Linked DNA regions of Saccharomyces cerevisiae S288C. The main gene of each other region encodes a partner of the protein of the gene in region 3 in a complex. Each region holds a gene or a part of one and is shown on either strand. Other genes may lie near its edges. The genes, in order: TRX2, TRX1 and PBI2.

The links.
Region 1: PBI2 (region 3) and TRX2 share a complex: the UniProt entries of both Saccharomyces cerevisiae proteins name them as parts of the heterodimeric LMA1 complex.
Region 2: PBI2 (region 3) and TRX1 share a complex: the UniProt entries of both Saccharomyces cerevisiae proteins name them as parts of the heterodimeric LMA1 complex.

What each region holds. Positions count from the first base shown.
Region 1 is NC_001139.9:912,250-914,876, reverse strand, and holds TRX2 (thioredoxin TRX2), read left to right. Parts: upstream 1-1,649; coding exon 1,650-1,964; downstream 1,965-2,627. Other genes in the region: YGR210C (uncharacterized protein), read left to right, coding at 139-1,374; SER2 (phosphoserine phosphatase), read right to left, coding at 2,065-2,627. UniProt on the Saccharomyces cerevisiae protein: Participates as a hydrogen donor in redox reactions through the reversible oxidation of its active center dithiol to a disulfide, accompanied by the transfer of 2 electrons and 2 protons.
Region 2 is NC_001144.5:231,177-233,975, reverse strand, and holds TRX1 (thioredoxin TRX1), read left to right. Parts: upstream 1-1,962; coding exon 1,963-2,274; downstream 2,275-2,799. Other genes in the region: PDC1 (indolepyruvate decarboxylase 1), read left to right, coding at 1-1,586. UniProt on the Saccharomyces cerevisiae protein: Participates as a hydrogen donor in redox reactions through the reversible oxidation of its active center dithiol to a disulfide, accompanied by the transfer of 2 electrons and 2 protons.
Region 3 is NC_001146.8:603,618-606,230, reverse strand, and holds PBI2 (Pbi2p), read right to left. Parts: upstream 848-2,613; coding exon 620-847; downstream 1-619. Other genes in the region: PUB1 (Pub1p), read right to left, coding at 1,963-2,613. UniProt on the Saccharomyces cerevisiae protein: Cytosolic inhibitor of vacuolar proteinase B (yscB), probably regulating protease B activity during limited proteolysis.

The DNA.
Region 1 (2,627 bases), on a different chromosome or scaffold from region 3:
GTGTAAGTGTTCTAGGATGAATTGTAATGAGAGTTGGTTTTATTTTCATTTTGCGTTTTCGTTTTCCGTCTTTTAGCTTTTGTCCAACTAACTTGTAGTATAAGCTGTCTGTAAGAATAAAACGGAAATAGAGCCAGTATGCCCAGGGATCCATTGATTGGTATTGTGGGTAAGCCATCTTCAGGGAAATCCACCACATTAAATTCTTTGACGGACGCAGGTGCGGCGGTAGGAGCATTTCCCTTTACCACGATCGAGCCAAATCAGGCAACCGGCTACTTGCAAGTTGAGTGTGCTTGCTCCAGATTTGGCAAGGAAGATCTTTGTAAACCTAACTACGGGTGGTGTAGCAAGGGTAAGAGGCATATCCCCATCAAACTGTTGGATGTGGCAGGGCTTGTGCCTGGAGCGCATTCCGGCAGAGGGCTTGGAAATAAATTCTTGGATGATTTAAGACACGCAGATGCTCTTATTCATGTGGTGGACGTTAGTGGAACCACAGATGCAGAGGGGAAGAACACAAGAGGATATGATCCATTGAACGATATAGAATGGCTGCAAGACGAAATCAGGCTTTGGGTTGAGGGGAACCTGAAGAAAAGATGGGGGTCTATTGTGCGTAAACATACAGCAACGAAATCTAGCATAGTGGACACACTTCAAGCGCAATTCGGTGGGTACGGTTCACATGCGCCCATGATCCAAAAAGCCCTGGACAGGTTGAAGGGACTACCACCTTTGGAAAAATGGGATGACGAATGGATCACTCGAGTGGTCAAGTCCTTTATGATGGAGAAATTTCCAACTGTGTTGGCACTCAACAAGATTGACCACCCTGACGCCGATAAAAATGTTTCTAAAATCATGCTAAAGTATCCTGACACCAAAGCTGTACTGACCAGTGCAGTGACGGAAGTTTTTTTGAGGAAATTGAAAAAGCAAGGTTTTATATTATACGAGGAGGGCACGGAATTTGTTGACACATTTGAGGACGAGCCAGACAAACTAAAGCCACTGGACGACAAGATCCTTAACAGAATTGAAAATATCAGAGATTTGGTCCTGTATAGATTCGGATCTACGGGTGTTGTTCAGGTTCTGCAAGCAGCAACGGACATCCTTGGTCTAATACCGGTGTACACTGTGAAGAACATCCAGACTTTTACGGGTGGCAACGGAACCAACGTATTTAGAGATTGTTTTTTGGTCAAGCGAGGAACCCCTGTTGGCAAAGTTGCCAGGTATATCATGGGTGGCGAGGTCACCATTGCAAGCATTGAAACCGTTGGCGGCGTGAGAGTCAGTGAAGAAAGTCTTGTTGAGCCCGGTAAGAATGACATACTCGGCTTCAAGATCGCTCCAAGATCAGCATAACTTGAGTGCCAGTGAATATTAAGTAATCATCAAAGTATATGTGTAATTGTTTATACTCTTAGTAAAGGATGCTCCCTACAAGGTGGCTCTTTTCTTACTAAGCGCGTTCAGTTTCCAGCCAGCCGAAAGAGGGATATCAGTATATAAGAAAGCCATTCGGGGGATGAAAAGCTGACAAGAGAATAACGAGGACCAGTTTTTATTTGTTGTCTAGCAAGAATTATACACGCACACATACACGAGAGTCTACGATATCTTTAAATAACACATCAATAATGGTCACTCAATTAAAATCCGCTTCTGAATACGACAGTGCTTTAGCATCTGGCGACAAGTTAGTCGTTGTTGACTTTTTTGCCACATGGTGTGGGCCATGTAAAATGATTGCACCAATGATTGAAAAGTTTGCAGAACAATATTCTGACGCTGCTTTTTACAAGTTGGATGTTGATGAAGTCTCAGATGTTGCTCAAAAAGCTGAAGTTTCTTCCATGCCTACCCTAATCTTCTACAAGGGCGGTAAGGAGGTTACCAGAGTCGTCGGTGCCAACCCAGCTGCTATCAAGCAAGCTATTGCTTCCAACGTATAGTTGCCGGTATATTAACGCTACGTAAAGTACATCATGTTTACCAGTTTAAATAAACAATTTTAAAAAGAAACTCTATTACATCTATCTATCATTATTTTCTTCATTGTCTATTGTATATTTCATCATCGGTGTAACCAAGAATGTATAAAATGTCAGTCATGCTCTTGGTATTCAACTTACAAGGTGCAGCTTTCTGCACCTTTGGCTTGGCGTTCCATGCGATCCCAAACCCGGCGGTAGCCATGGCTGGCAGGTCGTTACCACCGTCACCCACCATACAACTTGCTTCAACTGGAACATTGTAGTCATTACATAGTTGCAGAAGGGTTTCACTCTTGCACTGTCCGTCTACGATAGGACCCAGTGTTTTACCGGTTAATTTTCCATCAGTGTCAACTTCCAACAAGTTTGCCTTACAAAAATCTAAACCTAACTGATCCTTGATAAAACCGGCAAACTGAATAAAACCACCGCTTAAAACAGCGAGCTTGCAATTTTTTTTGTGAAGGAACTTGCATAGTTCTGGCACACCCTTGGTGACCTCTAGCTTTTGTTTTATTTCATCATATAGTGTATCGACTTGGAGGCCTTGCAATAATTTAACGCGTTCTCTTAAAGACTCTTTGAAATCAAGTTCATTGTTCATGGCTCTTTCTGTGATCT
Region 2 (2,799 bases), on a different chromosome or scaffold from region 3:
AGATCTACGAAGTTGAAGGTATGAGATGGGCTGGTAACGCCAACGAATTGAACGCTGCTTACGCCGCTGATGGTTACGCTCGTATCAAGGGTATGTCTTGTATCATCACCACCTTCGGTGTCGGTGAATTGTCTGCTTTGAACGGTATTGCCGGTTCTTACGCTGAACACGTCGGTGTTTTGCACGTTGTTGGTGTCCCATCCATCTCTGCTCAAGCTAAGCAATTGTTGTTGCACCACACCTTGGGTAACGGTGACTTCACTGTTTTCCACAGAATGTCTGCCAACATTTCTGAAACCACTGCTATGATCACTGACATTGCTACCGCCCCAGCTGAAATTGACAGATGTATCAGAACCACTTACGTCACCCAAAGACCAGTCTACTTAGGTTTGCCAGCTAACTTGGTCGACTTGAACGTCCCAGCTAAGTTGTTGCAAACTCCAATTGACATGTCTTTGAAGCCAAACGATGCTGAATCCGAAAAGGAAGTCATTGACACCATCTTGGCTTTGGTCAAGGATGCTAAGAACCCAGTTATCTTGGCTGATGCTTGTTGTTCCAGACACGACGTCAAGGCTGAAACTAAGAAGTTGATTGACTTGACTCAATTCCCAGCTTTCGTCACCCCAATGGGTAAGGGTTCCATTGACGAACAACACCCAAGATACGGTGGTGTTTACGTCGGTACCTTGTCCAAGCCAGAAGTTAAGGAAGCCGTTGAATCTGCTGACTTGATTTTGTCTGTCGGTGCTTTGTTGTCTGATTTCAACACCGGTTCTTTCTCTTACTCTTACAAGACCAAGAACATTGTCGAATTCCACTCCGACCACATGAAGATCAGAAACGCCACTTTCCCAGGTGTCCAAATGAAATTCGTTTTGCAAAAGTTGTTGACCACTATTGCTGACGCCGCTAAGGGTTACAAGCCAGTTGCTGTCCCAGCTAGAACTCCAGCTAACGCTGCTGTCCCAGCTTCTACCCCATTGAAGCAAGAATGGATGTGGAACCAATTGGGTAACTTCTTGCAAGAAGGTGATGTTGTCATTGCTGAAACCGGTACCTCCGCTTTCGGTATCAACCAAACCACTTTCCCAAACAACACCTACGGTATCTCTCAAGTCTTATGGGGTTCCATTGGTTTCACCACTGGTGCTACCTTGGGTGCTGCTTTCGCTGCTGAAGAAATTGATCCAAAGAAGAGAGTTATCTTATTCATTGGTGACGGTTCTTTGCAATTGACTGTTCAAGAAATCTCCACCATGATCAGATGGGGCTTGAAGCCATACTTGTTCGTCTTGAACAACGATGGTTACACCATTGAAAAGTTGATTCACGGTCCAAAGGCTCAATACAACGAAATTCAAGGTTGGGACCACCTATCCTTGTTGCCAACTTTCGGTGCTAAGGACTATGAAACCCACAGAGTCGCTACCACCGGTGAATGGGACAAGTTGACCCAAGACAAGTCTTTCAACGACAACTCTAAGATCAGAATGATTGAAATCATGTTGCCAGTCTTCGATGCTCCACAAAACTTGGTTGAACAAGCTAAGTTGACTGCTGCTACCAACGCTAAGCAATAAGCGATTTAATCTCTAATTATTAGTTAAAGTTTTATAAGCATTTTTATGTAACGAAAAATAAATTGGTTCATATTATTACTGCACTGTCACTTACCATGGAAAGACCAGACAAGAAGTTGCCGACAGTCTGTTGAATTGGCCTGGTTAGGCTTAAGTCTGGGTCCGCTTCTTTACAAATTTGGAGAATTTCTCTTAAACGATATGTATATTCTTTTCGTTGGAAAAGATGTCTTCCAAAAAAAAAACCGATGAATTAGTGGAACCAAGGAAAAAAAAAGAGGTATCCTTGATTAAGGAACACTGTTTAAACAGTGTGGTTTCCAAAACCCTGAAACTGCATTAGTGTAATAGAAGACTAGACACCTCGATACAAATAATGGTTACTCAATTCAAAACTGCCAGCGAATTCGACTCTGCAATTGCTCAAGACAAGCTAGTTGTCGTAGATTTCTACGCCACTTGGTGCGGTCCATGTAAAATGATTGCTCCAATGATTGAAAAATTCTCTGAACAATACCCACAAGCTGATTTCTATAAATTGGATGTCGATGAATTGGGTGATGTTGCACAAAAGAATGAAGTTTCCGCTATGCCAACTTTGCTTCTATTCAAGAACGGTAAGGAAGTTGCAAAGGTTGTTGGTGCCAACCCAGCGGCTATTAAGCAAGCCATTGCTGCTAATGCTTAAACTCACCCAATGACCGATATATTGTGTTTCTATACTGTGTTTGTTATATATAGTTTACCTTTTTTAGACAAAAAAACAGAATTATATATTATCCTTATGTTTTGTTATTTACTCGGAAGCACACAATTGCCCACCACACAAAGGAGGTGGAGGAAACAATTAATTTTTCACACAAGAGGTATATATTTGGAGAAAAATGAAGAATGAGATACTTTTCTTCCGATTACTTAAGTATTACGGCTCTGAAATTTTCTCGAGCATTAGATGATTAAATCAAAATGACATAGTATTTCGCAACCTTTCAGTTGGGCTTTGTTTAAGAAGTGGAATACTTTTGCTTGAGTTGTTTAGTTTTATTTTATCCACTGTTGTCTTAACAAATATTTTCAAGACCGGTAAGCCGAAGATGAAAAATCATTATTAACTCATTTTTTGAACAAAAATATAAACAAAAGAAAGGCAACGCACAATTTTAGAGATACATAAAACGCAGTGGATGTTAAAAATAACAGCGGTACAGAAACG
Region 3 (2,613 bases):
AAGAAGGAATTTCTGGCGCAAAAGTAACTGGAGAGGAGGACAAAAGATATATATATATATATATTTAAATGGATATATATATATGCACATATATATTATCCAGAAAAGTAAAGCAAAATGTGAATGGAAAAGAGAAAGAAGAAAGAAACAAGTGGAGAAAAAACTCAAATTGTTAGAAGAATATACCCATTAATAGCGGAAATCAAGGCTATTCTTTTGTGCAAGCGCATCGCTCCCCTAAAAGACATCCAGCCGCGCAATGCACGGGCCGCGACCTTGAAAATTTAAAAGACCACTTCCTCAACACAGTTTAGCTCTGTTAATGACAAGGCAAGGAAAGCAAGATGACCAGAAAAAGAAAGTCCCGAGACACATCTTAGATGCCAAAGAAATGGCGCCACAGCAGTTATAAAAGAGCGTTAAAATTGAACAGGAGCAACGATTTAGACTGTCATAAATATATTCGTATATATATATGTATATATATATATATATATATATATATATATAGGACGTGCTCTGCTGTTTTTTGGTGAATTATTATAGTAGACGAGAAATAAATTTACAATCGGGGAGAGAAAATTTCCGAGTAAAAAAGTGTTTGCGTTTATCTCAGGAATCAATTTGTATGAACTTCTTTGTCTTCTTCGACGTTCTCGATGACATCATTGTGCTTTTCCTTCAACTTGTTCAAGTGGAGAACATCTGGTACCTTGATGGTGTACCCTTTAATGATGTCGAATTCGTGTACAATAGAGCCACCTGCGTGATGAACTGAATCCAAGAACTTCTTAGCTTCCACATCTGGAGTGTTCTTTTTCAAAGTGACGATGAAATTCTTTGTCATTATGGACCTTGTTTTTTGTTTGTATATTTAAGATTACCTTCTGGTTACCGTTCAATTGGTCTAAACGGAATCTCTGCACCTAACATAATGAAGCCAGAATTTTTTATATGTGCCATATATATTGCATTGAAAGAAGTTCCCGATGCTCTGATATGCCCCCTTTTTCCCGCCCCATTTTATTTTTTGGGCTATGCAAGATAAAGAAAGACCAAGAGCTCGGGGATGCGTGGTATTGGTCCGTTTCCTTTTGGGAAAGATGCCAGCCACAACCTGCCACGTACGCGATTCGAAATGATTCGGGCGTGCATATGAAGCTCTTGGAAAAAAAATAAGGGCTGGATAGAGGGAAAGGAGGTGTTTGGCAGACGAAGTAATATCATCTAGGTTTTTGATATTTGGCGTCGCGACTTTTTGGTTGTCATTTTCACAACCTTTCCCTAAAGAAAGAAAAGTCCTGTGGAACCAGCCGGGTTCCTGTTAAGCTGCCTTTTTTTTGGTCTTAACAGCCATTCTTTTGTTCGAAACACAGTTCCGTACTTAATGAGAACGTTGGAGCAGCGTCACGGGTGCGCAGTGGTAGTGGCTGTTGCCTTTATGTGCCTGGACTCAAGACTGACATGTCTCCATAACGCTAGGTAGCATTTTTATATACTTAACAAAAGTTGTAAAAAATAAAAACAAAAATTATATATATGGACTCGACAAAATACAGTGGGATGGATGTTTAAAAAAAATAGGGTAAGAAAGGAAAAAGGAAATATAATAAAGAAAGCCTTCAGAAAATACGTTCTTTATTTTTATCACACTATTAGCAATGACTTTCACATTTTAAAGGAAAATAATAGTATTAAAAATTAAACAGTGACGAAGGAAGGAAATAAGACACAGAAAAACTAAAAAAATAGAGTAAGTTTATAGGCCCTTTTATTTTTCGAGCAATAGTAAATTGAGTTTCTTCTTCTTTTTCTCTCCCTTTTTCGTAGTAATTTTTTTTTTAAAAATAGTATAATATAATGAATGGATTCTTGTCGTTCTTTTTTTATTTTATCTTGGGATTTGTAGGTTGCCTCTCTTTATTCTTTCTTTTTGTTTCATTCCACTTTTCTTCATAATATTTATTGTTGTTGCTGCTGTTGCTGCTGTTGCTGTTGTTGCTCAGACATAACCGGTTGTTGTTGGTCATTCATTATAAGTGGCTGACCGCCCTGTTGCTGCTGCTGTGGCATAAAATTTGATCTTTCCTTACCCCAACCGGTTCTCAAGTTTCTGCCTTGAAATGGGAAGTTTGCCAAGGCAACAATACAAACAGCGGCCTGTTCATGAGTGTCATACTTTATGAAGCAACAGCCCTTTTCTGGATAGTGCTTGAAATCTAAAATAAAACCGAAGTTCTGGAACAACGGAATTAAATCAGCTTCAGTGGCAAAGTGCGGAATATTACCGATATAGGCAGTAGTAACTCTTGGTGGGGCACTTCTAATGATGTGGTCAACAGCTTGAGGATTTACTTGAGGAGGTAAACCAATGGTCTGGGATTGTTGGGGTTGGCCTTGAGATGGTAATGGCATGGCGCCAATTGGCATTCCCATTGAACTTGGTGGCATGCCCCTGCTGTTGTTCATATTCATATTCATGTTCATATTCATCCCCATATTCATGTTGTTATTGTTGTTACTGTTATATTGACGGAAACCACCACGGTTGTTGTTACCGTAGTTACGACGCTGTTGATAATTATTATTGTTATTGTTATCACGCTTAGCAGC